Danio rerio: one gene and its partner. The protein of the gene in region 2 interacts with the protein of the main gene of each other region in a pairwise test. Links are inferred from orthologs where the notes say so. Each region holds a gene or a part of one and is shown on either strand. Other genes may lie near its edges. The genes, in order: ccdc90b and tsc22d1.

What was found.
Region 1: the proteins of tsc22d1 (region 2) and ccdc90b interact in a two-hybrid assay, tested with the Homo sapiens proteins (2 studies listed by BioGRID and IntAct). The link is inferred for Danio rerio from reciprocal best matches to the Homo sapiens genes TSC22D1 and CCDC90B.

Annotation. Positions count from the first base shown.
Region 1 is NC_133196.1:24,342,620-24,359,091, forward strand, and holds ccdc90b (coiled-coil domain-containing protein 90B, mitochondrial), read right to left. Parts: upstream 8,109-16,472; 5' UTR 7,784-8,108; coding exon 7,687-7,783; intron 7,611-7,686; coding exon 7,491-7,610; intron 6,465-7,490; coding exon 6,361-6,464; intron 6,274-6,360; coding exon 6,172-6,273; intron 5,946-6,171; coding exon 5,904-5,945; intron 5,830-5,903; coding exon 5,758-5,829; intron 5,684-5,757; coding exon 5,630-5,683; intron 5,552-5,629; coding exon 5,437-5,551; intron 5,303-5,436; coding exon 5,247-5,302; 3' UTR 4,877-5,246; downstream 1-4,876. Other genes in the region: alg8 (dolichyl pyrophosphate Glc1Man9GlcNAc2 alpha-1,3-glucosyltransferase), read left to right, coding at 8,882-8,970, 9,168-9,246, 10,148-10,341, 10,699-10,805, 10,918-10,985, 11,139-11,265, 11,356-11,459, 14,487-14,607 and 2 more.
Region 2 is NC_133184.1:20,406,580-20,422,546, reverse strand, and holds the start of tsc22d1 (TSC22 domain family protein 1), read left to right. Parts: upstream 1-3,594; 5' UTR 3,595-4,145; coding exon 4,146-6,745; intron 6,746-15,967. UniProt on the Homo sapiens protein: Transcriptional repressor. Acts on the C-type natriuretic peptide (CNP) promoter. Acts to promote CASP3-mediated apoptosis.

The DNA of each region.
Region 1 (16,472 bases), on a different chromosome or scaffold from region 2:
GGATCAACAACCTGAGGGAGACATCAGCCCACGTTTTGAAAGTCCCAACAGTGTGCACTCTGGCACAGGCCCAGATGATGGTCCAATTAGCGTTGAGGGTCTTCCCAGGCACGATCATTTCTTGGAACAAGGACGAAGTGGGCGAATCCATGGTGAATCACCTGGAAATACACCAAGTCACTCAGAAGGACCTACAACGCAGGTCAATGCAGCACGGCATGATGGACCAATTCATCAACGTTTTGATAGGTACAAAAATCCTCAGGCTCCCTTTGATGGACCATCTAGCCACATGAGAGAGCCAAGATTGGATGGACCTCCAAGACCATTTGTTCCACCTTCACGATATGAAAGCAATACAGGGGGATTTGATGGGTCAGGTGGACCTGTAAGGTTTTCCGGACACCGCTTTGATACCCCTCACCACTTTGAACAATTTCCCAAAGCACCTGAAAGACCTGTGAGATTTAACAACCCACAAGTTTCACATAGGCCAATGCGCTTCGTAGAGCCTCATAATGTTAGATTTGACTCCCCAACACCGGTTCATTATGATCACTCAATGCCCCAAAACAGATTTGTTAATCCACCAAGGTTCGATAACCCTCAAATGCAACAGGGCCCACCAGGATATGAGGAACCACATTTTCCAGCTAGGATAATTAATTATGATGAACAGCAGGGTCCAGTTAGATTTGATAACCCAACATGTGGGATTCGTTTTGAGAACCCTGTGCAGCCTGAACCCTTAAGGTTCGATGCACCACCTGTCATGCCAAGATATGACCCACAGGGCCCTCCAAGATACTGCGGTCCAAATATTCCAAACCAGCTAAGACCACAGGAACCAACAATGTATGATCAAACTCAAGGTCAAGGTCCAATGATAAACCCTACTGTACCCCCACCCAATTTCAACATGCCACCCATAAACTCATTTGGTGGTCCAGCCCAGCAGTTTTCCATGCAGCAAAATGTCTCGCAAACCTCCAACTTCAGTGTGCCAGTTCCTACATCATCAGATTTTCAGGGTTCATTTAGACCTCCATTCCCTGGTCCGGGTGTCGGAGGTGTTCCTCAGCCTGTAAGTACTGCCTCACTTATAAAAGTTGCAGAGTGTTTTGTATTGTTGTTTTCTAAAACAGACATTTAAAATTATATTTCAGATGATGGGTGCTCAAAACTTCATGCCCCAAAATCCAATGCCTTTTCAGCCAGGTAATAAATATCCTCTAAATCTGTTATCTGGTGATAACCTGAAAATCAATTATACACTACTGTTTGCTTCTTTGCTTTTGATTGTGAAATCTACTTTAGACCCTTAATGTATTAAGTGAATTGTTTGTTGTTTCAGTCTCCCAATTTCCACAGCCTGAGCCAGAGCCATTGAGACAAATAGATGTGAATGATCTGATGTCTAAGCTTATATCCACTGGAATTATTAAACCTGCACCTACAGACTCAACAGCTGGTATGCATACTTTGATATATTAAATGCTTTTCTGTATAAGAGTTATTGCAGTTTACTTTTATGTATCAAATAAACCAATTTCATGATTTAAAAAAATCTGTCTTAGACTCCCCATCAGCTAGTCAGACTATATCTGTGCCTGAAGAAGAGGAGGAGGAGGAGGAGCAAGAGCAAGAAGAAGATGACAGTGTCCCAGATTTGACTGGCTTTATTTTGGATGACATGAAACAGTAAGATACTCTGGAGACTTGTCAAAGCTAAGAGTAGTATATGTTATGTGAGTGTGGAAAAATTGCTGATGTTTTGAAAATTTTCTTTACCACAGGAGACACGAAAGCATTATCACTAAACTCTATACTGGAATCCAGTGCTATTCCTGTGGCATGCGTTTTACTGCATCTCAGACAGACGTGTATGCAGATCATTTGGACTGGCACTACAGACAGAACCGCTCAGAGAAAGACATCAGTAAGAAAGTCACGCATCGCCGCTGGTACTACAGTCTGACGGTAAATCGGTTTTATTTCATGTTTATCTTTTATTGGTCATAAATTGGCCTCTTGAAAATGGGGCCAGGGAACAAAGGTTTTTAACATTGGAAATTGTGTTTTAGGATTGGATTGAATTTGAGGAAATCGCTGACCTTGAAGAGAGGGCAAAAAGTCAGTTCTTTGAAAAAGTTCATGAAGAGGTTGTACAGAAAACTCAGGAGGCAGCCAAAGAAAGGGAGTTCCAGAGCGTGAAGGCTGCAGCGGATGTCGTTCATGAGGTAAGAGAACAAGCAATATGATTATTTTAAGTCTGAAAGTAAGTGCCTGTCAAATTAAAGACTTCACTCTTTCTTTACCTCAGTTGTGCGAGATTTGCCAGGAGCAGTTTGAGATGTACTGGGAGGAGGAAGAGGAAGAGTGGCACCTGAAGAATGCCATCAGAGTTGATGAAAAGGTGAGAAACACACTAATGAACAGAAAAACCCTTATTGATTTTTCTATATGATAGTATCTTAAATCTGCTTACATTCTGTTTTCTCTGCTTTTTTTAGACCTATCATCCCTCATGTTATGAAGACTACAAAAATGTAAGTCTTGATTTAAGTAGTTTGTGATGTTATGCAATTGCCTATTTTATTATACAAGTACCTACTTCAAAATTTTACCTGCACCCCAGTTCAAGTAGGAAAGTGTTCTTCATATTAAAATATTTTCTACAGTAAGGCCAAAATTTACACCTGAAGTAAAGATGCTGTTATTAATCTGATAACCACTGAAGTGGACAACTTAAAATGCATGTGAAAAATAGGATCGAAAAATTGAACTTCTCCATTTTCGAGTTCTTCCAAATGTAGTCAAAGGCTCTAATACACACTTGGTTTAAAGACTATTTTTCTTAATATAACCTCACATTAATTTATTTTTCTTAAATATTGGTGTACAACGTGTCCACCTTCAAGCACTTACAGGAGTTAAAAATGCCATTCTGTCATGTTCAAACAGACACTAAACATTACAAACTCTGCCAACTGACCTGGTTCATCAACATTTTTGCCTTCTGAAATTGCATGTTTGGTTTGGGTATTGTAAAAAGCACCACATTCTTTAACCAGTCCTTCTTTTTAACTTCAATCCACAGATTTTAGTGAAGTCTTATTTTGCAGGATTTGTTCGAAAGATCAGAAAAAATCTCTAGTGTCTGCTCATAGATTCTCCCAACACAGAAATCTAGAAAGTGGTCGAAAGTGGACAAAGTCAGATTAAAACAAATGTATTGTTGTAAAGGCATACAGATAATGATTGAAATAAAAGTTTTTATCTACATCTCACATTTTCAGGAGCTTTGTCTAGTTTACCCAACCTTTCTTTCACGTTACTGTAGAAACCCCTTTATTTACAAGTGTACGGAAATGTGTCTCATCAAAATGATAATTTTACTCACTGTGCACAAGACATTTAATAAATGTTGTTAACTAGACAGCCTAATAACCATTGACTTTCATGGAGGAGGTGAGGGGAATAAATGTTTAGAATCAGCTGTCCTGGAAATTCAGCATTTTTAAAAACAATTGTATGTGTCTTGTGTTTGTTCACCTTAAGAAAGACGCACACATAGATTTGGTACTGCATGAGTAAATGACAATTTTCGTTTAAGGGTGACATTTCTTTAATGTGCATCAATGTATAATATGAAGCTACATTTTGCTTTTGTAGAATTATGTAAAAAAAAAAATGTTGGAACATGTTTGAAATGCCTCCTTTTTTTGTTGTAGACATCCTCCTTTATGGACACCACACCCTCGCCCAATAAAATGCTTACAGAAAATCCCTTAACAGCTTTTTTGAAACAAGAGCAGGATGACGAGACGTCGTGTTCCAGTATTAAAGAAGAGCCCGCTGATGATGATACGGAGGCTCCAATGGTAAAAGAGGAGGTTCAGGTTAAGTTAGAAGGAGAATCACAAACCAGTGCAATTATTTTCTAACTATGCTGCTCTTTAGCCACTTCTTTTGGTGGTTATTTAACTGGTCCTTTGTGTTTTTGTAAAGAAGGATATTTTTATATTGCAGAGCTCTGGGGCCGGGACCTCAGCTAGTCACTTTAAATACATTTTTGTATTTGTATTTGCCTGCACATTTCAGGTATTTTTGCCATGTGAATGCCCAATGAAATGTACTGAAAAAGATGTGCGTTTGGGGTATATGTATATGTATAATTTAATTTATAAATAAAGATATTTTGGTATACTTTGTGTAGTATTGATAAAAAAAGGTTTAAAATGTTTGTTTTTGGTTCTGAATTTAAGATACTTGTTCTGATTTCTTTTGAAAATGGTCAACAGTGGTTGAATACTAATTTATGAATTACCTTCATGTCCTGTCTACAAAAAAAAAAAAAAAACGAGACTCTTTTCAGTCGTTTCTTTAATAATTCCTTAAATCCAATTTTGGGGCAGATTGTAAATTATTAATATTTGATGGTACATAGTTTACTATGAGCATTTCCCTGACCTCAGTTTGTAAATAGTTGTTAAGAGTTTACTGCTGTATTGCTTCAAAGTAATGCTTAGTTCAAAATGGAAATAAAATCAGGGTGGTTTCTTTTCTCTTTTTCGCAAAGGTTGAAAGGGCATTTTTTTTCTTTATGCAGAATATTCAATAAAAAATCTGAGTAAGAAATAGTGTCTTGTGTGAAAAGTGATTGTGTGCTTTTTGACTGATCTAAAAGTTGTCAGTTTTCTGCTGAATTTTAAATAAAGTTTCAGTTTAAATGGAAATGTTCTCTGCTTGTTTTCTGTTTTGTATTTTACATACCATAAAAATATATTTTTTTATCCTAATGAGAAATTTAATGCCTACCTCAGACTTTAAGTTCCGTGATTCAAGTTAAGTGAATTGACGACAACACAACTGATTCCGTTTCCAGATGAGGTTTAATAACCCTGTTTAAAAATACAAAATCACTTAATACTCGTGTAAAGTGGCATTCAAACATGCTCAAACTCAAAACATTTCAAGAAATGTTTTCTGAAAATTGTACAAGTATGTACTACACTTGCTTAAAAGAGGACTATTTGGACATACTTGATGTACTTTGAGCAATTGTTAGCAATAGCTTTAAAAAAATGATTATATACTCTAAAACGAGTTTGATTTTTTTGGCCCTTTAAAGTAAAATGTTTTTACACCTCAATTTTGTTGCTTACATGAAAAATGTTAACAAAAAGATAATAAAGTTACATGAGGTTTAGGTAAAACTTGAAATCTCTCCAGTTTTGTGAGCTTCATTTCCAGAAGCGATAGAATCCCAAGGCAATTGCCAAGCAGGTAAAGATGCATGCTGTGAAGCATAAAAATAAAATATCATTTAGTTAACAGATTTGTTTTTAGTACTTAATAAAATGTTAAATCAATATGTTATGAAGTTAATATTCTTATCTGAAAGAGTTTTTGAAAAGAATGGTGAGTCCATACCTGCAAGATATCTAACAGTCTCCAACTTGAGCGATTCCAGGAGTGTTTTCAAAGACGCTACTTGGATGTCTATTTTCTTTGACGTTTCAACTGCTTCACTTTCTATATCTGCATTCTGTTGAAAACGTAGGGTTAAAGTACTATTATGTTTCCATACCAATTTAAAGTAATCAAACGATTGCTTTTGTCTTACCATTTTTTGAAACTCCATTCTAACATCCATCAGTTTCTTCTCTTGTTCTGTAAACTAGAATAAAAGCCCTTTTAGTGACTGAAAGCATTATTTCCTAAACCGTTTAGAACGTTAAAATGCACTCTTACCATATCTGTAACTCTGCTTCTCTCCAGATTAATATCTAACTTTGCTTCAGCTCTTATTTTTTGGCTTTCTTCCTACAGTTTTAACAAAACATAATGATTAAATGAATCAGAAAATACTGAAATGCACACATTATCACTTTACTCACCAGCAGTCTGTTCGTTATTTGCTCCAGTTCAGTTTTCATTTTCTGAGTGTGAAATATTTGAAACATTAAATAATTAAGTTGATAAAAATGTTATGACAGTTTAATAAAATTTGGGTCTCCAAATTACAAAAAGTAGCTAGATTTTGAATGCAATACGAAAGTTAAACTAGTGTTACGTGTGAACAGGTTTCCCCCCCTCTATTTTGCATTTGTTCTAATTCTAAAACAATAAACAAATATGAAAGACAGGATTAAATGTCAATCTTACAGCATTTTCTGAACGTAAATTGGCAAATTCACTCTTCTCCAGGATAACCATGTCTTTCCTGATAGCATCGAGATGAGCCATGATTTGCTGTAAAGCGATTTCCTAACACAGAACAAATGAAGAAACCAATATCATTCAACTGGGTTCACGGAGACATTTTTGCTGACAGCAGTTTTGTTAACGCTTTACCTGATGTGCTCCAGTCACCATGTCTCTGTATACAATGTCAATATTGGCCGTAGTAAGAGTCACTAATGCTGTGACAATCAGCTCTGCTTGCCTCTTCTCGAAGCCTGGATTATGATGTTAAATAAAGGCCATTAAACATGCATTTAATTAAATATTAACTGTTTCCCTCACTGACAAAATCATTTGCTCTATTCGAGACCTAACAGCCAAGTTCTGGAGCAATGGTTTGGAAAAACCCCATTAATGTTTTTACAGTAAATTCTACAGAAATAAATTGTATATACTTGTGTTTAACTAATCCTTTTATATAAATGTTACATTTAACAACAACAAATATTTAATAAAAAAATGTACAAGAAACTATAATGGAAAAATTATATACATATACATACAAGCATGTACCATGCAAATTAGAAACATAATGGCAACAACTTTTCTTCTTCAAAGGAAGAGATGGAGATGCATGTCCAGGCTTTTATCTCTTCACGGTTGGATTTTTGTAATATTCTATTCACTTGTCTAAACAAATCTTCTATGGATCGATTGCAAGTTGTACAGAATGCAGCGGCGAGGCTTTTAACCAACACCAGTAGGAGGTCACACATTACTCCTCTGCCTAAGGCACTTCACTGGCTTCCTATTAGTTTTAGAGTAAATTATAAGATGCTGGTCATTACATACAGAGCTCTGTATGATCAAGCCCCCTACACATTTAAGATCTTTTACGTAGTCACTCATGTACCGGTCTCTGATGTGTTCTGGCAAAGACCTTTTAACCATTGATAGTACTCGCCTTTAAGACTAAAGGTGACATGCCTTCTGTGTTGTGGCCCCAAGGCTCTGGAACTCTCTCTTGGGATCAGCTTAAATTTTTAAAAAGCATTTAAAGACACATCCTTTTGGTCGAGCTTTAAATGAACAGTATTAGTGTTTCTGTACTTGAATTTTTAAATATGTTTTCTTTAATTGATGTGTTATTTTACCTGTTTCTGTTTTTTTCTTATTGTAAAGCACTTTGAGACTTAATGTCTGTAAAAGGTGCTATATAAATAAACCTTTATTTACTTTCTACTGAAAACTTCAGCCCAGTTTGCAGTAGTAATCTAACTGCTGTAGTAAACATAACTTACCGCTTGATTCCAGCTCTTTGACGAGCGCATGGGAGTCAAAGGTGAGTTTCCTTTGTTCCAGTGGTGTTAACTCCACCTTTCTCACGTCGTATGTTTTGACAGCATTTGTTTTATGCAATCCTAAAAGAAAAATACATCTCTAAACACTTAAGTGCACTATATAGATAGCGTACAGTATCCGCCGATCAACTCTTACCTCTCTGATGACACAGGGGCTGGATGTTGAGTTGATGAAGTTTTAACAGCGAGCAAAACTGCTGCTGTCTCCGCATAAAGATCCCCCAGGACGACATTGTTATATATAAAAGTTATATATTGCTACTATTTGATGTATTAGGTTATAAAATACTTGCTATGCGCCTTTAGTTTCTGTACTTTTTATCAGATTGCTCAACTAGAGTCCAGACCAGCTCTCGAGTGCGACTCTAGGGCGGATCGACCACTCCTTTCACGGTCAAATCGATTAGTTTTGTCTTAGGGTTTTTTTCTCTGTTTTTGTTCGTTTACTGTTTGGTTTCCTGTTCCAAATATGTAACTTTAGAGGATGTTTCGATAGATTGTATAGAAGGTGAGTTTTCACTGATGGACTGGTAAAGGTAACCAAAGGCAGTAGCATGATATAGTGACCCGGATGTTGTCATTGCAATGTTTACATTCCACCGAAATTTTAAGGTTAAAGGCATAATTCAAAAAAATAAAATAAATAATAATAATAATAATAAAATTTACACAGATTTTATACAAAAAAAATAAAAAATATATTTTTATTTGCCTTTCAAAAAATAAGGTAAAAATAGGCCAAACCTAATTCCGACTTAATTGAACTGACTGACATGTCAGATATACAATGAATCGAATAGAAGGCCATACAATTACACAAAACAAACAAACCAAATGTATAAAATAACTTAACAACAAAAAAAAAAAGAACAAGATATCGTGCTGACACCAAACAGAAACAAGGGGTTAAATAAAACCATATTCTTGAAACAAATCATTAGCCCTCTCACTCTTTATTATTGTAAATCCCCTACATAATTATTTTTTAAAGACAATCAACTGAGAAGCTGTTTTCAAATTTTTGCATTTACGAATGAAGAATTAAAGTAAAATAAGTAAACAATTTGCTGTTAAGTCATCATGTTGCACGTTGTTCACATGTGCTCCAAATTTGTTCCAAATAAAAGAAAACATTGAAATATATTGTTTTATAGTTTCCCACATCTTTAATGAACAAATGTCTTTACGAAACTCAAATAGGTTGATATTATTAAAAAAGTTCTGCTTATGTCTTATGTGAGCCGCCAAGCGCCCCTTAACGGAGAACAGTTTCATTGCAACACGGTAGTTCCACTCGAAGGCTGTATTTTTCCTTTCTCCAGCAGACTGTCATGGCGGCGTCCATGACTAACGACCAGAGCTGGTTTTTTGCTCTGGCACTCGGAGTTTCATTTCTGAAATGTCTCCTGATAAATGCATAGTAAGTGAAGTCATCTCACAACATGTACATTTTCTTTCATTTGATTAACACATTTAAAGTTGTGTTCAGTGTAGTAAGAATGAGGAAATAGCCAAGATTCATTCATTCTGTTCTCATTTACAGAAGTGGAAAACACTCACATAATGTAAAGCTGTTTTGTATAAAATTGTCATTTTTAAAACTTTTTTGTATTTCAGTCACTCTACGGATTTTGAAGTGCATAGGAACTGGCTCGCCCTGACTCACAGTCTGCCAGTCTCTCAGTGGTATTATGAGGTAGTCAGATTGCATGTTTTTTTTTTCTTATGCAAAATATCTTTCTTTCTTTCTACTATTAGTATTAATACTATTACGCTCACTTGCCACTTTATTAGGTACACCATGCTGTGACCAGTATGAACCATTTTGGTTTGCCTTCAGAGTTAACGTACTTTATGACGGATTTTAAGGTTCAGACAGGTGCTGGAAACATTTCCCTATGTTTACATGACAGCAACACACATATTTATCAACTTTATACTATTATTTTTTACAACAAATTCTGAACATACAAGTGAAACGTTTCTGCATAAAAAAGACTAATTTGACCATCAATTTGGTCTTTTCCCAGTCTATCATTGTTCTGTTTTAGTGAGCGCATGTAAACTGTGACCTCAGTTTATTTGTGTCCCTGCTGTGAACTTTTTCTGCTGCTGTAGCTCGTCTACTTCAAGGTTTGACATTTTGATTACAGATGCTGTTCTGCAGATGTTGGTTATTACCAGGCACTAGTGGTTTTTTGAGATACTTTTACTCTTCTGCCTGCTCGACCAATTTAGTCATTTTCCTCAAATATCTGGAGTTAATCAACATATCACACAGACACACTTTAGTTTTTTTCTATTAAGCAGTTTCTAAATACCAGCTTATCTGCATCCAACAACAATTCCCTACTCAAAACATTAGTTAAATCACAGCTCGTCTCCATTCTGATGCTCAGTTTAAAATTCAGTATATCATTTTGACCACATTTACATGCCTAAATGCATTAAATTGCTGCAATGTGATTGGCTGATATTTCGTTATATAGATATTTGTGTTGAACATAGTTGAATAGATGTACCTAATAAAGTGGCCATAAATAACAAACTAAATAAAACTAAGTCTTATTTTTGTGGTTTAATCTTTATTTTTACAGGCTACATCTGAGTGGACGTTGGATTATCCTCCTCTGTTTGCTTGGTTTGAATATGGACTTTCTCATATTGCCCGATTTTTTGATAAGGAGATGCTGGTTGTTGAAAATCTGAATTATGCAAGTCCAGCAACAGTCCTTTTTCAAAGGCTTTCAGTCATCGTGACCGATGCAGTCTTGTTTTATGCAGTTAAAGAGTATGTTCTGTCTACATGCTACACACTTAAGTATTATTACCTTTTCACAAACCACCATTTTCTTTTTTTATTAAAGGATATGGTAACATTGTAATGTAAGGTGATCTAGTTATACATGTTCCGTGCAGTTACTTTAGTAATTACAATGTATTATGCATAATTGCATGTAATTAAACCTAACCTAGATTCTAACAGCAACCATGTAGTAATTGCATGTAACTACTCAGTACTTAAATGAAAAAATAAAGTGTAACTATATCTCCTTAAATAAAGTCTAACAAAAGATTTTTTTTAAACAGACAATTTTAGAGATAGTTTACATTGAATTTTATTTGTTTTATTTTTGTAATATTTTAGATGTTGCAAATGTTTGCGAGAAGACAAAGGAAAAGACCTTCTGGGAAAGCCATCTTTCATCCTGACGGTGTTGTTGTTGTGGAACTTTGGTCTTCTAATTGTTGATCGTATCCTTTGAGACTTTGCTCATTAATGAGTTCAGTCATGCATTTCCTGCTGTGGCTCAGACCTGTCTTTTCTCTTACCTGAAATTAATTTCACTTGACTGATTTGCTGCAGATATTCATTTCCAGTATAACGGCTTCCTGTTTGGAGTTCTTCTCCTGTCAATAGCAAGGCATTTACAGGTATTGGCTGTATTTTTTTTTAATCAGTAAGCCTTCAAAATAGGAAAACTGAAGTTTGTTAAATACATTTTAAACACCATGTATTGTAATAAAACTTTATTTAAAATATTTGGAAAGTTTGCTTCAATAGGTTTTTTTTGTGTATGTTGACAGAACAGACACTTAGAGGGAGCCTTGCTGTTTTCAATACTTTTAAACTTGAAGCATATATATCTATACATTGCACCTGCATACGGTATCTTTCTGCTAAGATGTTTTTGTTTCACCCAGAGCAATCCAGGTAATTTATTTTATGCTTTTTCTCCATAATTAATAAAAGTAAATTAATAAAAAATGTTTATCATCATAAAAAAATATTTTTTTTTCCTAGATGGGTCTTTGTCATGGAGAAGTTTCAGTGTCTTGCGACTTGTAGCACTTGGAACTATTGTCTTGTCTACTTTTGCTGTGTCAATCGGACCCTTTCTTGCACTGGTTTGTTAATCACACACACACACACACACACACACACACACACACACACACACACACACACACACACACATACACACACACACACATATATATATATATATATATATATATATATATGTATATATGGGGTATAAATAATTTTGGGCTTGACTGTGTGTGTGTGTGTGGATATGAATGTATATATATATATATATTAGGGATGTAACGGTATCAGAATTTCACGGTACGGTAATACCTCGGTATCAATGTCACGGTACGGTATTTATTAAATCATTTACAGGAAAAAACAAAACTTATGAAAATACTCCAAAAAAGTGCCAAAAGTGTCAATGACATACAAATTAGCCATCTATCTGTAAGCTTTGAAACAGGAACTTCAATTTTAATAACAAAAAAAATATTAAACCATGTAAAAAAAAAATAAAGTTTTTAATTTAGTATTGTTGAAAACTCATTACATTCAACATTTAATCACTCACTCACTTAGATAGAGATGGGTTTAAAGGAAAATTATCATATAAATATAATCTGGTAAAAGCTGGTATCTGGGCATTTACAATGTCCCCTGCAACAGAAAAAAAACCCTCTCATTTGGGACTGATGTTTCTGGGACAAGAGAGATATGACTTATATGACTTATTTCTCGAGCGCCGAAAACGGAGCGTTTTGGAAACGCTGGACAGGCCGTTTCATTCTGAAACGCTGCTGCTCCGTCTCAGTGTGGATGGGGAAAGACGGAGACATCTGAAAACGTAGGCGGGGCTGCAAACGTTCGCCTATCTGATTGGGGCTTTTCCTCAATATTAAGTAGCCCACACACAGTTCAGTCTCGCATCCTCTTCTTGTAAGTTAAGACTTCGCAAGTTTGATCAAGGCTGCAGTCTCCCCCTTCTCAGTTTGATATGGAAAACATACCGAGGACACGCGTAAATCTTCAAAGGGAACAGTGTACTTTATAACTTCATTCACATCACCTTGGCTACGTTGTTTCACTTTCTCAACAATAAAATGTAAACATGATTTAAGGAACTGCCTATTTCCTTTTTAATATTAGAAAACTTAACAGACAGCAGAAATGTTGAGGCGCCGTGCTGCATATATGAGCGTCATCTTCACTGTGTGGATATTTATAACAAAACGGAGCCTATAACAACTGCCTCCTTTCAATTTCAGTGAAAATACGAAACGCACCCTCTCTTTTGCTGAATATCAGTTTTAATAATCGATAATTATAAAAGTATAGCATACAATAAGTTTATACATTGTAGGAAATAAAGGCAAGCGATCAGTCAATGTACCTGGATTAATCATTAACTTATCTTTGCGCTTAACCAAAACATGTTACCCGTGAACAAGTAACTTAATAGATTCCAATGACCAAAGTCAGGGAATTGGCCTATGTCATTAGATAAAGACAACAACATGAATGAAATATCACGTTTAGCAAATATAGTGAGATTAGATCCAGCGGGAGATGCTTGATGAGCAGTCCGACAAGCAGAGCTCTCATCTGGGTAAAAATGCTGGAGCGCTTGCCCGAGAGTGTCTGTGGTCACGTGATGTGCGTTTTCAGCGTTTTGGTGTGGACGGAGAGCTGTTCAGAAACGCTGGGAAAAACGCGAGTGTGGACGCGGATCGTTTTCATTCTACAACGCCGTTATAAAACTAAAACGCACTAGTGTAAACGGGGCCTTAGAGTTTTACAGCTCTTTTTGATCCCCGCTTCTAGCAGCACACTCCATTTCCGCATTACTGGATCTGTAGCGACAACAGACCGCAGGGGATGATGGGAATTGTAGTTTTCGCTACCTCCCGTTCGCTTCATTCGCCTGAGCAAATTTTCTCAGAAGACCTATAGTTTTACCGAGTCATGCGACTTCGGTAATATCGAAAAAAATTAATATTACGGTATTTACAATACCGTTACATCCCTAATATATATATATATATATATATATATATATATATATATGTGTATATGTGTGTGTGTGTGTTTTCCCATTTAATTATTTAGCTAGTTAATTTGTTAAAATAAAAGTTATGTATAATTACTAATTATTTTAAAAGGTATTTGAAATTGTATATTATATTATAAATGTTATTGGTTAGACTTTATTTTGATGGTCCATTTGAGTATCAGTAGACTGTCTGTTTAATACCTCCTGATACTAAGTCTTCAACAGACTTTTAACTGACTATGAGAAACTTTACACCTCCACCTAACAGTCTACTTATAATCTAGTGAGAATTAGTTGGCAATGTAACTTAAATCCAGCAAACGGACCATCAAAATAAAGTGTAACTGCGATATTTAAAAAATAATTTATAGTTACTAAACCTTTTTTTTGTGGAATAAAGGGTTCTGTGTTTGTTAATGGTTAAATTTTAATCTTTCTATTTTCTGTAATTTCTTATTAATAAAGATAGCAACTGTATAAAAAATAGCAAAAATATAAAGATGTTAATTTGCCTAGAGTGAATCTAAATAACAGTAAACATTGACACTCAGGAATAGTTTGCTTCTGTCATGACAGAAATTAATTTGAAATAATAAAACTTTTTATTTTAAATTTGTAATAAGTGACAATATCATAGAGTGTGGTGTTATTTATAATCAAACAACTAAAGCCTTGATGAGCATAAAATATTTCAGTAACGCTTTACAATAAGGTTGTATTAGTCAATGTTAGTTAATGTATTTACTAACATAAACAATTCACAATGCATTCATTACAGTATTAATTCATGTTAGATAACATTAGTTAATGAAAATGTTGTAGTTCATTGTTAGTTCCTGTTAACTCATGGGGCATTAACTAATGCTAATAAGCATGATTTGAACTATGATTAATACATGCTGTTCTTAGTAAATACATTAACTAACATTAACTAATGACATCTTATTGTAAAGTGTGACCAAGATTTCTTTCAAAATCTTATAAACCTTACAAAATCTCATCAAGTTATCAGTATTTTTAAGTTTTCTATTTGTCACAGTTACTCACTTATTCATTTTTATCTACCTAGGGTCAGCTTCCGCAGGTCCTATCAAGACTCTTCCCTTTCAAGCGCGGTCTGTGTCATGCATACTGGGCACCAAACATCTGGGCACTTTACAACATAGCAGATAAAGCTTTATCCATCCTTGGTATGTTCAGTAATTGTGGGTTTACTGTAAAACCACATAAACAGTATATAGAATCAGCTAATTGTATTACGTATTATTGTATTATTGATATGTAATATCACATATTATAAATGTCTTGCCACTTTTTTAACACTGATCAGTACTAATTCATTTATCCAGGTGTGAAATTCAAACTGCTCGACATGAACAAACTTCCTAAAGCCTCAATGACTGGTGGTTTGGTTCAGGAGTTTCAGCACTCTGTTCTTCCCTCCGTCTCTCCTTTAGCAACACTCATTTGCACATTGCTGTCAATATTGGTGAGCACTTCTGAATCTTTTATTTGATTGTCATAATTTAATATTTGCACATCTAGATTTGTGACACTTGTTGCAAAGTACAAGTATATAAAATGTTGCAGTTTTTGAGTCAGAATAATAGATTTTTATTTCATGCATGACATTTTTACAATATTAAAATCATGTTCCATGCAGATATGTTGTACATTTCCCACTGCAAATATATATCCACCGCACATACACAAGTGTAATTATGTTCATTATTATTAGCAACCTGTACATATATTCATTCATTCATTGTAAATCACTGATCATTGTTAATACAACCTGCATATAATGTTCATAGTAAATCCATCTGTAAATATTACCTAATAGTTTTTCTATAATTGCACTATATAACTTATACCCATATGCTGCATTAGCTGTTACTGCACATCTGGTTAGACCTAAACTGCATTTCAACAAACAAACTTTGCATCAGGGCCCCCGCAATCCAAAGACATGTGGTACAGGTGAATTGGGTAGGCTAAATTGTCTGTAGTGTAGGAGTGTGTGCATGTGTGTGTGTGGATGTTTCCCAGAAATGGGTTGCGGCTGGAAGGGCATCCGCTGCGTAAAAACGTGCTGGATAAGTTGGCAGTTTATTCCGCTGTGGTGACTAAAATGAATGAATGAACTTTGCATCAATGGAAAGCTTATTTATAGGTGATGTATAAATATTAATATCCAAAGATTTAATTTTACTTTTATGGTTTTGGGGTCCAATGACGGGTTGCCAGGTTTTCGACACAAAACTAACCCTAATGGTCTATCAAAAATAGCTCAATAATATCAAAACACAAAATTAATATATGCCTTACAAATGGTTTCTTTAACTAAATAACTGTTTATTCGTAATTATACAGATTCTGTTTTTGATTCCTTATATTAGCATTGTGTTTCTTAAGTCGAGTAAAAAAATTTACTCTGGCGGAAGTGAAGCACAAACTTATGAGATGTTGTAGCTATTTAAATTGCCATTTTTTTCCAAGAATGAACATAAAACATAAACATAGAATAAACATTTAAAATGTTAATAAAATTTTCAATTAATTAATTTAGATTTCATATACTTATGCAATTTATATTTAGAACAATCCTAGAAATTCCTAAATTCCTGCCTAATTGTTACCATTAAGCGAAAACAGGCACGCACACACCTTTAACACCCCTGGACCTCACAAAAGTGTGATTACGTTTTATCATCCTAGCACAGTTTTTAATCATTGGTGGAATATAAATTTGGTAATAAGAAATATTTAATTAAAATGTATCAGGACACCCATATAAATATAATTTATGCAATACATCATACATTTAAACCATGGATTAAAAAAAAAAAACACATGTCAAGTGGTAAAAAGTTGCCTATATTCGCAGAAAAATTGCATACATGGCAACCCTGATCCATGGTCACATTTGCATTCATAGACTATGATGATTGTTCAGTTTTTGACTCTTTCTCTCTCGCAGCCTGCTCTTTTCAAGTTATGGCACAGACCTAACGGAACAAGAGGATTCTTGCGCTGCCTTGTCGTCTGTGCTCTT
Region 2 (15,967 bases):
CAGTAAAATCAATAATATTATTGAATATTTATTGTCTTTTGAAGCTTACCTAAGTAAGCCAAAGGTAAAAGTAAGTAAGCAAAGCTTCTTCAGATGAGGGTATGGGGAGAAAATACCTTTTAAATATTGAAGTTTACATTCATATGATTTAATAAAAAAATATTTTTATTAATTTTTAAAAAACCTTCTTTGGGCACATAAAATACTCTTTTTGGTTTGCGGTCAACTCTCGTATTTATAACCACTCAATTCAGTACAAAACATGCATTACATTGTTTTGTTTTTTTAATCTTACACAGTGTCATTTAAAATGGGCCATTTTCTACCACCCAAACTACTAAAGTTGTACTGAAACGATCAGCAGGCTTGGTAAAGTAAACCTCGGTCACCCTTTCCCAACACTGGCATATACTCCAGAGGGATAAGCTTTCATTTCGGAGTTAAATTACACAGAACAATGGCAATTCTCATACAGGATCTCTATTTTTTTTCACCATATCACCAAAGATACCCGTTTTAATAAGTGTTTACAAAATGAAAGCAGACTCCTGTGTATAAATTGACCATTATTGTCCACGAGCACAATAGCTCTCTGTGTTTTTTGTTGTGGAGTGCCAGTGTGATTTAAAGCTGCTGACAGCACCAGACGCTTACATTGCAATCAGCTCTCGCTGGCTCTCTCCCTCTCAAATTTGTATGGACGGGCATAGCCTGTCTGCTTGGTCTGGACATCAGGGCACATGCTCATTTTGGGACCACATTTCTTCATACTTAAAGGGGTAGTTCACATAAAAATGGACAATTACTATTTACTTACGCTTAACAGGTTTCAGACCTGAGTTTCTTTCTACTGTTGAACACAAAATAAGATATTTTGAAGAAAGCTGAAAATCGGTCAATAGTGGGTAAAATAAATACTATGGAAGTAAATGGTTACAGGTTTCCAGCTTTCTTCAAAATATCCTATTTTAAAGAAAGAAGAATGAAACTCAAACTGATTTGAAACAAGTAAAGGGTGAGTAAATGATGACCGAATTTTCATTTTTTATGAACTATCATTTTAATCTGTTTTATATATATATATATATATGCGCCTAAATGTAAAATGACCCAAGTGCAGTGATCATGTATACACACATATATATATATATATATATATATATATATATATATATATATATATATATATATATATATATATATATATATATATATATATATATATATATATATATATATAAAATGTATACATGATCACTGCACTTGGGTCATTTTACATTTAGGCGCATGTTGTCAGTTCTTTATAAAAGCAACTCAAAAATTGCCAGTTTGATGTAATAATTCACAAGATATGTGTAAGACATTTGGTGCCCTGTCATTTTGAGAGCTGTCTGTTTATGAGATCTGCATACTATTAGCCACAGGACCATAGCCAGAGAGGGGCTTCAGGTCGTTCAAAGACCCATCCCTCACTGACAAAGGTCCAGAATTTTTTTTCATACATTAGCTCATTTGTCCTATTTTTACTCATATGCCATCATAAATAGTGAAAATAACCTATCGAAAAACCCATCAAATTACATGTTTTACAAGAGAGACTAGAAACATTGTGAAGCTCTATATTATTGTTGTTATTATTATCATTATTATTATTATTATTATTATTATTATTATTATTATTATTATTATTATTATTATTATTATTATTATTATTCAAATGGTCAAATTTTTTAAAGAGGAACGTTAAATGTGCTGAACAGTTTGTTATTTATATTTTGCCAAATAAATGACAATAGGCTTGTTTTTAATTTAAAACAGATTATTTTTTCCATAATGATATATAAATGTAATAAATTTGTATTTTAAAAAATAAGTATTTTTTTCATATTTCAAGCTAATCCGACTAGCCAATCCAGCTAAATGAATGCTTAAAATGTATTTAAATCTCATAATTAAATAGAAAATGTAGATTCATTTATTCATTCATTTTCTTGTCAGCTTAGTCCCTTTATTAATCCGGAGTCGCCACAGCGGAATTAACCGCCAACTTATCCAGCAAGTTTTTACGCAGCGGATGCCCTTTCAGCTGCAACTCACCTCTGGGAAAGAAAATGTAGATGTACAACTATAAAAAGGTTCACTTTTTGAGAACCACCACTTTCACCAGGCTTGCTGTGGGCCTGAGCTTAGCCCACAAAACAGAATATTTTTACATATAACAAGCATTTTTACACATAGATGCTCAAAAAATTAACAAGAGTCTTTAAAATCATTATCTGTTCTCTGGATTTGCCATTAGTAGGTCCGTTTGTGTTAAATGTTCATTTGTGTTGTAGAAGAAAAAATAGTACTCTGATAAGGTGTTTTCAGAATTACAAATAAGAATATTGTCATTTAGAAAATGTATTATATATTAAATTTTCACATATTCTATTACATTTTCACATATGACACAATGACTGGGTTTGTAAACAAAAATAAAAAAATCTGAGAACAAAAATCTAAGAACCAAATGATTTGTCAGACAAATTCCTTTCCTGAACAACTCACAAAAATCCACTATCAATCCATTTTAGAAATTGTTGGGATGAAGAAGTTTTTATTCACTGCATTTATCTTTTTATTTCAGAGACAGATTGTATAAGTTTCTGGTAGAATGTATAAATAATCAGTGTGGGTATAAATATCTGAGGTTTATAATGCGAAACTTGTTCCAGACAACAAAGATGGTATTCTCACAATCACAGCTGAAAGCTAAATATAGTTGGATCAGCACACATGTAATAAATTCCTGTTGTATTATAGTGTAGCTTGTCTGAAACAAAGCATATATTTTGAGTTCACATTTTGGATATTATTCATGTTAAAGTAAAACAGCTGAATGTTTTTTTTTTGTGTCTGCTGCACCTAGAACTTTAGTTCTCTGCTCCCCAAACAGCAACAATCAGATTGTGTGAAAAAAAAAAACTGTGTCAGTGCAGATGTGTTTGGTTGCTCTTTTCTGTCTGTGGAAATATCTGGGTTCTCTTTCAGACGAGTTGTTTTGTAAAAACAGAACAAATCTCTGGACTATGTTGACAACATTGTTGTCACAAGGTCTGTTTGCATCTTGTTGATGTAGCTGGCCTGTATAGGCCAACACACACAATAGCAGCTAACTTAAAATAGCGTTTTGCTTAATCGTTCATATGTTTAATCTGTAGTAGGTTATATTTTATAATTAATTTATGTTCAAAATTAAATCTGAAGTCGATTTTTATAAATATAAAATTTTATACATTTAAAACTGGGAACCAGAAATCTATGCCCTGCCTTTTTCGTCTCTCCTTCAATGTCAAATAATAATAACCACGGCGGACAAAAGATGTTATTCTGAGTGTTTGCTGCCACAGTTACCGAAGGCTATAATAAGAAACACCCCTCAACCAACACAGTTGGTCGCACTCGGCTCCACTCGGGCCTCTTCGGAACTCTTCGTCGACCGTCTCCTGGAAACCCCCCTCCCTCCTCGCCTCCGCCCATCCTCGCCAGACTCTCTGGGCTTTATGTCTGGCCGGGTGGACGTGAACTGCCATGCGCGGTCGCCATGTTATCGCGCTCTCCTCCCCTTTTCGGGGACTCGTCACAGGCTCATAGCACTAGCACAGGCTACATTACAAGGAGGCAGCTGGTGAATAGGAGCAGAGTGGGAGAGAGACATTGCGCTAACACAGGAATAAAACAAAAGAAAGCACGGGATGGAATAAAGCAGGACAGCGCTGAGTTGCTCGCTTTCTCTCTGTCATCTGACGCCGGCTGGAGGACTTAGTTTCGTGTGATTTCGTGCTCTGGTGACTGCGATACAACAATTGAAAATGCGCCTGGCAGTTTGAACTGTGATGGGGAGAAACCGTGTCGTTATAAGGTTGGATATTAATCGCCTCGGCCGTCTGTGTCGACTCCTGCACGCTTAAACTTCACCGATATGGTGTGCTGAGTGATTTAGTGAGGATATACCTTTGAAAACAACAGCCGAAGCGAATCCGTGTCGGCTAGCTCGCTAGCGACTGTTAACTTAGCATTGGCATTAGCCTGCTCCTCATGGTGGACATTTAAATACACCTCAAGTGGAATTATTGTGGCAGTTAGAAGAACGTGTTGGTTTTATGTGGAAATTACTCGAACGGCTTGAAGTTGCTTTCCCAAAAGAGCTTGTTCTCTTGAGCTGCGTTTATAACTTTGTCAGAGACTATACTCCAGCAATGAATCACCACGAACGATCCGGAGACTCCGGCAGCGCCCGAAAAATGGTTTACCCCATGAGTTTACCCAGACGGGAGAACAGCAGCAGCACAGTAGGTGGTTCCTCTACATTGACAACTTCAGCAAGCACCAGCCTTAATAGCAACAACTTGATGCTGGCGGATGAATATTCCCCACCAGTGCTGATTCAGTCTCAAACGCAGACTGCGTCCTCGCTCGGGCCCCAGAACCCTCCGCATAGCCTGAGTATCCCCTTGCAGACACCCATGTTACCCCAAACGTTGCCCACTGCAGTTGCACAGATGAAGAAGAAGAGTGGCTTCCAGATCACCAGCGTCACCCCGGCGCAGACATCTGTGAGCACCAACAACAGCATTACAGAAGACACAGAGAGTTGTGACGACCTGGATGAGTCCCACACAGAGGACTTGTCATCCTCTGAAATCATGGATGTGTCTCTTCCACGGGCCAACAATTCAGGAGGTCCTGAAAGAAGCTCCTCTGAGGAGACGCTGAATAATTTTCATGAGGCGGAGACCCCTGGTGCCCTGTCACCCAACCAGCCACCCATTATAACCCAAGCACACCTGCATGGCACCATGGTTAACGGAACTGTTCACCACCACCATCACCACCACCACCATCATCACCATCATAATCCTGTTTCCTCTGGAAAAACCCATCCTGCTGGAGGGACACTGATTGGGGTACCTTTGGGTGCCCCGGTCACATCTGTGGTGACCTCAAGTTCGGCTAGCACAGGCCAGAAAATGCCTTCAAATGTGGTGGGATTGATTGAGAATGCCTCTGTTGGCACAACTAGTGCCATCGGACAGCCTTTGGCTACTCTCGCCTCTGGAACTGGAGTGATTTCTGTGACTTCAGGTGCCACGATTAGTACTGGTAATACTTTAACTAATAATGTTTCCGTGTTAAACTCTGCCAGTGTGCCTGTTGTGGGTGGCAAGACTACCAATAGTAGCAGTGTAAACTACTCCTCTGCTTTGAATAGTATTAGTAACCAAACCCCAAACTTGACCCACGTTCCCAGTGGAATAATCGGCATGGGCATCACCGCTGCTGCCACGGTTTCCGGTAGTGTTGCGTCAACAGGTGGAGGGCAAATGGGGCCAGCTGTCATGGGGCAGCATGCAATGCCTGCACCCTCTGTCCCAGTGATGAGCGCTCAGCCTCAGCAGGCCCAAGTGCCTACTCCTGCCTCCACCAGTTCACGTTTCAGAGTGGTCAAATTGGACTCTACCTCTGAGCCTTTTAAGAAGGGTAGATGGACTTGTACAGAGTACTATGATAAGGAAGCCCCAAATGTGGCATCCTCTGAAAATGCCCCTAGCACCCGAACAGTGGAAAGTATCCGTCAGTGTGTGCCTGAAAGTGTGGCGGGACAGGACCGAGACACAGTCAGCGGGAGCTCTGTCAGCAGCTCAGCTAGCCATTACACTGAAAGTCTGGGCAGCGGTGAAACGGGCGGCCCCTCTACTGTGAAGCAGACCTTCCAGCAGCCCATGTCTCAGATGCAACCCCAAGACTTAGTTCAAGTGCATCTTAAAACGAATGCAGCAGCTCCGATGCCGGCAACAGCAAACATTCAGCAGCAACCGCCTGCATCTATCGGAGGATTGCAGACCACGATTGTTCAATCGTCTGCACCTCTACCCTCTCATATGCCCAAACTGACATATGCCCAAGCAGCCCAATCCCCTCCTGCTCAAGCTCTGCCTGTGGTGACCCAGCAGCAGATGGGCTATCCGCCCGCACAGCAGCCAGCTGCACCAGCCCAGGTAGCACCAACACATGTTAACCCCTTAAGCCAGGGAGGCAGCCTGCCATCTGACTTCTCCCAATCCAAGCAGATCCTGAGCACTGTGCCACCTGGGTCAACAAAAACTCTGCCCCACCTGTCCGCCTCCATCCCTCCTGTGGCTCTCGCTGGTAATGGTCAGATGATCACACCCTCCTCGCAGCCCCCTACTGCTCAGCCACTTCCGCAAGGGCTCCTGCAGCCACAACAGACACCCGCCCCGCAGATGGTCCAGGTTGTGCCGCAGCTGGTGCAGTCCACTGGCACCACTCTTATACAGCAGACACCAGGCCAGCAGCTCACCTCACAACCCTCCATGGAGCAGCAGCAGCAGTCACAGCTCGGCAGTCAAGCCCGTGGCACCCAGTTCGTCCCAGCCGTGACCTCATCAAGCGTGCCTCCTAACATTCAAAGTGATCCCCAGTCCAGTTTGTTTCAGAACGGCTCAAAGGAGACTGGGCCGCAACCTGCTGTTAGCACCCGGCCCTCGGTGATGCCGCTGGAGGATGCCCAGCTACTTCTGTTACAGCACCAGGCTCTGCTCGCACAAACCAAGCCAGCCGGTGGTGAAAGTGCCTCCCAAACCGGTACCTCTCGTGGTCCAGAGGGAAGCAGTGGAGTCAATGCCTTATCCGCCTCGGCCAGCCTGCTGAAGAGTTTACCTGTTGATGGAGAGGAGGATGGGTAAGTTCCACTGCTTGTTTTTTTTAATTGCATTGCTTATTTCAGTTCAATTTAGTTTGTAATTATTTCAGCTTTATTAAAAAAATCACACATGCAGCTCAGCATGGTGATCAGCATTATGCTTTAATCAACTGCTATCAACAAATTGTAGTGTGCAGTGAATATCACAGCAGGGCGATGGCTTTCCACAGCATAGCTAAAATCGCAAGCATAGCTTTTTTTGTAACCTAAAACTGTAGACTGCTAGACTGTATCTTTGGTATTACAGACAGAAAGATTATGCTTTCACCTAACAAGAATTTCGGTCTGCTTGGGGGGAAAAAGGCACACATGAAATCACTTGATAGTGCAGTATTTATGAACTTGACATTTCCTATTGAGACAGGAAGTTGAGCCTGTAGTCTTTTGTTTACCTCACAGCCTCAGACTTTTTTTTAATGCTAGTCGGATGTGTGTGTGTGTGTGTGTGTGTGTGTGTGTGTGTGTGTGTGTGTGTGTGTGTGTGTGTGTGTGTGTGTGGGTGTTACTGATAGGGACTTTTTCATTCTAGAAAGTTGGCCTGTACAATATATTGTTTCAGCATAGATTTTGCAACATGTGACTCTGCAATATTCACACTGCAGGATGTGCAATGTTGAACTGGGATTATAGTTGACCAGACACTACAGTGGAGTCAATGCAAAGTTTAAACTTAGAGTGAGTTTTTATTTGTGTGTGTTTTTCAGGCTTGTGACAGTAAATCAGGTAGTTATTTGTAGCTTAAACATTAATTGTATACAGTGCTTCCCACAGGTTTGAAATATACTTGCGCTGGTCACCGGATTGAAACACACCTTTTACCCACATCAAATAAATATTTAATGAGTGACAAACAAAACATAATTAAATTTTTAACAATAATTTTATTTATGAGATTATTTTACACTTTTTTTTTTTTAAATTGGTTAAAATAAGAAAGACTGTTGGAAAAAAAATCTACTATTTAGCTTACTTTTTTGCTATTCAGGAGCCATGTGCACACGCTGACAGGGTAAAATCTTTTTCTCGCTCTCTTTCAAGTTCAAAGCAAACTTGAATGCCAAATGCATTTTACATACACTTTAAAATTCAATAAGTTAAGGCAACTTAAAGCATTTGAGGAAACCGATTGCTACAAATCAATCGAGTTAAACTAATCTATATGAGTACTGTGAACTTACTCCATTTACGATGAAGTAATGAGATATTTAATTAATCATTACCTTCAACACTGATATATTGTGCAGCCCTGTTATGTAGATATGCTTTCCGACAAAATCATCTTAGGCCCCGTTTACACTAGTGCGTTTTAGTTTTAAAACAGCGTTTTAGATCAATAACGATCCGCGTCCACTTTACCGTTTTACCTAGCGTCTCTGGACATATCTCCGTCCACACCACACCACCCAAAACTTATATCACGTGATCATTCGCGCACTCTAGGCATGCGCTTTCTAGTATAAACAGAAATCATGCGTCTCGCTCGGCATTTGGTTATTGTTAGTCAACAAATGCCGCTTGAACATTAAACGTGATGGCAAAGAAAGCAAGAGAGGTATTTTTGTGGACAGACGACAATGTCGAGTTGTTACTAAACGTAACAAATGAATAACTGCACAATGGCGCCTAAAACAGACAATAGTGCAAACAACGTTCCTATTTTTGTGCCCATGTTGTTGTTTACAGTACTGTCTTCCGCTTAAAGCCATGTGTTATAGTCATGTGATGAGGCTTGACGATTATGGGAAGGATACAGTGACGAAGGCAATGACACAAAAGCCCCAATCAGGTAGTAAATCTCAGCAGTCCCGCCTCCGTTTTCAGATGTCTCCGTTTTTCCTCATCCACACTAAGACGGAGCAGCAGCGTTTCAGAATGAAAACGGTCTTCAGCGTTTTTAAAACGCTCCGTTTTCGGCGCTCGAGAACTCCGGCGTAGTGTGGACGGATGGCGTAACCGTAGCAAAACTTATGCGTTTTAAAACAAAAACGCATTAGTGTAAACGGGGCCTTAGTCAATGTAAGGTTCTGAATTATTTCCAAATAGCTGTTTGAATCATCCAGTGAAAAATTCTATTTATATCGCAGAGAAATGAAATATCACAATGTCAGTTTTAGAGCTGCACAATTTGACACTGCAGAATTTAACAATAATAGAGTGAAGGCTTATCTTCTGCTTCTCTTTTTAAGGCTTGTGGCATTGAAGAGATTTTTAATAGTGCATAAAGAAGTTTAATGAAGATTAATTGTGTTGAATAATTTATATGATGAAAATGAGTGTGGATGGGTGTTTCCCAGTGATGGGTTGCAGCTGGAAGGGCATCCGCAGCATAAAACATGTGCTGGATAAGTTGGGGGTTCATTTCGCTGCGGCGACCCCGGATTAATAAAGGGACTAAGCCGAAAAGAAAATTAATGAATAAATTCATGTAATAAAGACTATGCAATATTATTTTACCTTTGATTATTCAATTTCTGTTCCCGAATGCTGTTAGACTCTCCCCAGAAAACCAGCACTATTTTTCACTTTAACATTAGCTCCATTTGTGTTTATTTCTGACTCTAGTTTGTTTATCATTCATATATAATAAATTACATAAGGTATATTTAAATTTTTCTCCCCTACAAAATCATCCCAATCAATCTAAATTGATGACTTTACTTATAGAGCTATTCAAGTCATCTGGTGAATTTTTATTTCTATCGCAATATATATCGCAGAGAGAATAAATGTATTGCAATGCAAAATGTTTCCTATATTGTGCAGCCCAAGTTAGTTTATTTCTAGTATTGTGCAGCCCTAGATAGTTAACTGTCTAAATGTAAATGTGTGTCAGCTAAAACTGAATCTTATGATTTTATGAGCACTAGAATTAAGGTGACAATCAAGATGAAGTTGCTTGGACTTAAATTTTGGATTTTAATCCTGGATATTATTGAGCTTGCAGCAGATGCTTTCTTTGAATGATTATTACTTCTGACGTGTTTGCTGAAAGCTGTAGCAGTTACACTCAAAAGATCTGTGTCTGTTTAAACTCTTAAGATGTCTACGTTTAGTGCAGACATACAGCAATGTTAGCTTTTTATTCAACCTCAGCTGATTAAAATACCTGTAAATATTTTCTCACTTCATCAATAGTTTTTCAGAGCCTTTTAAAAAGTCAAAAGCTGTAGTAAGCTTCAATCGTGTACATTTCTTTTGCATTTCATTGCAAGGCCTAATATTTTACCAACAAGGCAAGCTCTAATTATAATGTCATAGCTAGTCATGCAGGTTGGAATGAATATATACACACTGTCAAACATACTTCTGGTAACTAAGACAGTGTGACATATGTTTGCATTTATCTAAAGCTGTTCATAGTCATGCAGCATGCTGATGCGCACTTTGTTTATGAGTCGATCAAAAGTAAAGTTTTCTGTGCTTGACGGAGCTTGTCTAACAGATGTCCTAGAGATGACAGAGTTACTCTGTAATCTAACACTCCTTAATGAAACAGATTTGTCACACTGCGTGCATTAATGTGGCACTGCTTGTTTCTCTCAGGTGTTAGTCATGATTTTACTTGAAGATTTTTATCGTCTTTTTTTATAGTCTCTAAAATGTTGTCTGTCTGCTCAGCTATGGCTGCATGATACTTTGTTTTGCTGCAATATACCGTTTTAATTGATAGCTGGAAAGAATTCATTAATTTAGACTGATTATTGAGTCTGGGATTATTCTGCATTATTCTAGACGAAGTGACATTTTCTTTATCACAGTATTCAGTTACTTAAATTGAATAATCAAATGTGAAATAAGACTGTATAGTATTCACTGTACAAAATATTTAATAAATACATCTTTATTAAAGTTACAAACGATAGGATTTCATGTGCCTCAATACTTTCATACCTGGACTTTTGTTTCGGAATCTTGCGTGTTTCCACCAGTTTGCATGATTCGTTTGGCAGATGTGAATCCAGCAATCGTGCTCGGATCCATGCCAAAGAAATCGGTCTGAGATTGCCTGAATGAGGTGGTCTCGGCTCGATTGAAACAAACTCTGAAGCGGATCGATTGCAGTGTGAAAAAGATTCAACAAACTAATGAACCATGCTGTTAAATGCGACTGAATTATTATGGAGAGCTGTTTATCAGTAATCAAAATTGACCGAACAGCAGTCTTGGTTTATCTGTTATTTCTCCCCATAATGTAAAGCTTATTTTGCATAATTCTAGCTAACGGTTATGTATGAAGTCTTACCTCTCTGATTTATATTTGGTGACGATGTCTGTGGGTGTCACCATTCAAAATTAAAGCTCAGCTTTTCGCTTATAATGTCTTACTGCTCATCGTCAGGACGCATGACAGCTGAGCGAGACTCTGCAAAATAAACCCTTAAACTTTGACCAATGTGGGGAGAGTTTTCTTGCACGTAACTTGTATTAGCTCTTTTGGTCAGTTTAGAAACTTTGTTTTTGGTAGGCATGGGCCGGTATAAGATTCTGACGCTATGATGAGCTTGGACATAAATATCACGGTTTCCCAGTATCACAGTATTGAGATTACTGCTCTAAAATAAATTATTTTTAAATGTCTGAGTAAAAAACTATTTTTTCCCCCTTTGTACACAATATATTTTAATTTATATTACATTTAATTTATTTAAAATGTTTTAGAGCAGTAAACATGTCAGACTAAATCATGTGAATTGATCATTGACTTCTGCTGTCTTTATAGGTTTCAAAAACACAGATTTTCTTTTTACAATTTAAAATGGCATCTTTTGATATATTTTCTGCTAGAGATACTGTTATCCTTAAAATCAAAAAAAAAATGTAAATAAAAAAATCTTACTTGTACCTTAGGAACGATATAGCAGAAAATTTTTATTGTTTTAAAACCTTGACTTTTCCAAACTGCGGCATACCTTGAACACCGTTGTCGTCCCATGCCTAGTTCTTGGTGCGGTTCTCTTTCACACAGCAAAGTGCAGCATTATAACTATTTTAATCCCTGTTTTGGAACTAAAGAATCGATCTACAGGTGTGAAAGCACCCTTAAACTCTTGTGCCTGAACACTTACACAGTCACTGGCCTTAAAACACAAGCAAATTACACATTTTTACTTCAATATGGTTAAACTCTTTAGTGACTCTTCTAAAAATCTTCTGTGTTCTGAGCTGTGGCTTCTGGTAAACTATAATCCCAACATATAAACTCAACTTTACACTTCCTCCGATGTGACTTGTAGATGTGCACATTGTGATATCGATGCTGAAATGATATTTTGTGCCGCTCTATGCTCAACCATAGAGTGTCTGAGGTTATTGGATCTGTCTTGGTGCATTTGATGGTCTTATAAATTGTGAATCATCACTTATTGTTGGCCAAAAAGCGTTGGTTGACTTCTAGTTATGCTCAGTGTATGTTTAGTTTCTCATGGCTTTCAGAACGAATGCAGACAGTACCATAATCAATTATGAATATAATACATTTTCTTAAATTATAGCACAATGAAAAAACAACAGCAAAATAGCATAATTTATTCTAGATTCTGCTAACAATTGCTGTAGTCCATAAAAAAAGATGTCTCATTTAAATGTTAAGTTAAATGTTAAGTTAAATGTTTTTCTAAAAGTTCTGTTTGAATGAAGGATTCAGTCACTCCTATTATAGACTTTGTTAATTAAACAGCCTTCGTCTGAAGGGTCAAGTTACCTTTTTAAAAATACACTTTAGTACTCTTTAGGAACTAATATGTATGTTTAAAGTATCAATGTGGTCCCTTTCTGAACTTCTGAAATGACACTGCCCTTTTGATAGCTCATGTATCTTTCTGAGAAAGTTCAAATGTGTTCACAGATATGATAAAGTAATTGTTACATCTATATAATATGCCATTAAAATTAGTTTCTTATTGTTCCGCATAGTTCGGTTGTACATTTCTGATTGGGCAGAACGAAAGTGTGCTCACTCGTTTGCCTAATAAGACACACACAGATGGCAGCACGCATTTGCTCTGGGAGGGGGAAATAAAATAATATATATATTTCATATTGCTGCATCTTGCCATTAGCAAATCGTGATTGCGATTCGATTTCAATTAATTGCATGGCCCTAATTGGAACAAATGAAGAGTAAATGATGACAGAAGTTAATTTTTGGGTGCTCTGTAAAAAAAAAAAAAACTCTACTTAAAGTTGTAAGGCAACTTGCTTGCACAGCTTTTTTGAATTGATTCATCTTTCAACCAAAATACTGTAGTTGACTTTTTTTTAAGTTGAATCAACTAAAAAAAGCTGTGCTGCAAGTTGCCTTAATTTTAAGTTGAGTTTGTTTATTTACAGTGTGAACGATCTTTTTAAGTGTAAAAAAGTGATTAGTTGACTTTAGTTAATGAAAGGGAGTAACACCATTTATTTTAAAACAATTATTTGACTTTACTTAAAGGTAAAAGGGAGTAAATCTGTTGCCTTAATCAAGTAAATGTGCAGCACTATACATAATTATTAAATGATTATGTTGTTATGATACTGGAATTCAGAACCAATCGATACTGGAATTTAAAAACGCCCGTTTTTCGCTAATATTTGCTGTTGAACACCACTGATTTGCCATCGTGTTCATGTGCTCAACAGAAATGACTGTGATTGGCCATGAAGATCATCAGTTCACCAAAATCACAGCTGTTTACCAAGTGTAAACACAGATACAGAGAGTGTTTTAAAGCTGCAATTCATCGGCGGATCGTTTGCATGCCAGCTTATAGACAAACCAGCTGATTGATGTGACTTTGAAACTTCGCTTTGTGACTCAGTAAACAGCAGTAAGTCAGGTGAACTGATGACCTTCACTGCTGGTTGGCCATTGTGTTCATGTGTTTAAAAATGTGCTTAACAGCGTTCAAATATTTCCTGGAAATGGACTATTTTAAAACTTCAGTACTGCTCGGTACTGAATCCCAGTATCAAGACAACCTTAATTAAAACTAAATCAATTTAACAGTTAGAAGTTACAACAGGTACAGTTAAAACATTTTTTTTTTTTTTTTCTAATTTAAAGTCAATTTAATCTTAAGGCAAAAGATTGACACTCTATATAAATATATATTTAAGTAATCAGTTGTTATGTTTTTCTCTTGAATGTAATTATTAGCAGCTTGACACTGTCCTTTTTGAGTTGGGTCGTGATCGTGTGGCAGAGTTGCACATCTGTTGATGTCCATCTTCCTCTGTTAGTTGTCTTATGGGGATTTTATGGCCTTCTAGTCGTGTTGTGCATATCCTTGCTGTCCATATTGACTGGTTTTATATTTGGTTTGATTGTGTTTGGATGAAGGACTACCTGCAGGAGAGGTGACCATTTGAAAATAAAACCGATAAAAAAGCTCAATGAGAAAACAATTTGATATTAACCTGTTTAGTTTGATTTCTCTGTTGTGAAACGCTGTCAGCTGCTGCTGTTTTGCTGTAATGCCACTTACACAGGATGAGATCATGTATTTTCCTATTATTGCTCTTGCTCAATAACAGATTAAGTCAGTGCAAATTATTTGTTTTTTTTATATACTGTTCTTAGCTCACAGTGTTGACTAGCAGCCTCGTATATAAAATTATACGCTTCCGTTTACTTTTTCTTTTTTCTTCATTGTAATCTGCTCTTGGCAGTGATAAAAGCTACACATGAGAGTCTCAATGAATCACTCATTGTGTAGAGATCAAGTAGATTATCTCTCCAATTAATGACCCTGTGGAATGGGAGAGAAGAGGAAATGCTTTCACTCGGCCTGATCGGGCCAGAGCAGATAACGGGGCTGAACTTGAAGCAGGAGATTTGGAGTGCAGAGCCTAAACCATTAACATATTTATATTTTTTAATATTTGTACTTATTTTGTTAACTACTAGCTTTTTAAATTATTTTATTAAAGTTTTTACTTATTTTACTTTTACTCGTTTGTTTTACTATTTTTGCCATTATTTTGTTTTTGATTATTATTATTATTTTAAAATCATTTATTCATTGTACTTTTTATTTTTACTTTTTTACTTTAATTTTTGTACTTATTTTTGTTTTACTTATTTTCTTTTGCTTATTTAATTTATTAGAATTTTTGCTTAAATTTTTTACATTTTAAAATTTTTTTTATTTTACTTTTATTTTTTTACTTTATTTTTACTTATTTAATGTTTTACATTTTCTTTTCCTCCTTATTTTATTTTTATGTTTGTTTTATTTATATATTTTTTATTTATTGCTTACATTATTTTGACTGTTGTATTATTTGTATGTATTTATTTTTTTACTTTTCATTTCCTGCTTATTTTATTTATTTTTTTCTTATTTAAAATTGACTTTATTTATTTTTTTGCTTGTTTTGTTATTATTTTAATAGTTTACTTATTTTATTTGTACTTATTTACTTGCTTGCTTGATTATTTAAAGCATTTCTCTCTCTTTTTTTAATAAACAAGACATTTTTTTTTTTCAAGGATAGGTAATAATAATATGGGTTGAAATCACTCATTGGGTATAATGTAAATGTCAATTTAAATCTTAAGGCCAGCTTTCCCTTTAATGTGTTTTTTTGCCATATTATTACCCGGCATCAGAAGGGTCACTCTGCTGATGTAATCCAAGAACAGATCCTGTACTTTTGAAGGATTTTTTTTTTTTTTTTAAAGACGAGACTCTTTGTACACATGTCTCTCTCTCTTTTAGGATGATGTCATTTGGATTAGAACCTGTCTTTCCAAACCTGAGAGCAGAAAAGCACAGCAAAGTACTTTAGGGACTGAAAGCTAATAGGGGCAGAGACCTCATGAGCTCAGCTGAACTGGTTTCTCAAACACATTGACAACAGGCATTTGCGCTTACCTCGACTCTTTTTAGGTTTCAAATCTGCTAAACTTTCATATTGTTTCTGTAGGTGATAACAAATGCTTTGCTGCTGCTTACAATCGCCTGACAGATATTGTTTTATTAAATATTAAAGTTTAAAATAAATCTCACGTTAAAAACGGCATAATTGCATTTGCTAAAGCTAAGGATGGCCGATATATACGACTGTATCGATATTGGTTGATAAATGCTTTTTTTTATGTAATTATTATTGGTTGGATAACAAAATAAGGCCAATATCTTGCTGATAAATTATATTATTATATCCCCTATTTTAATGATTTCAAATTCTTTCTACCTGCCACTTTTTTATTATTTT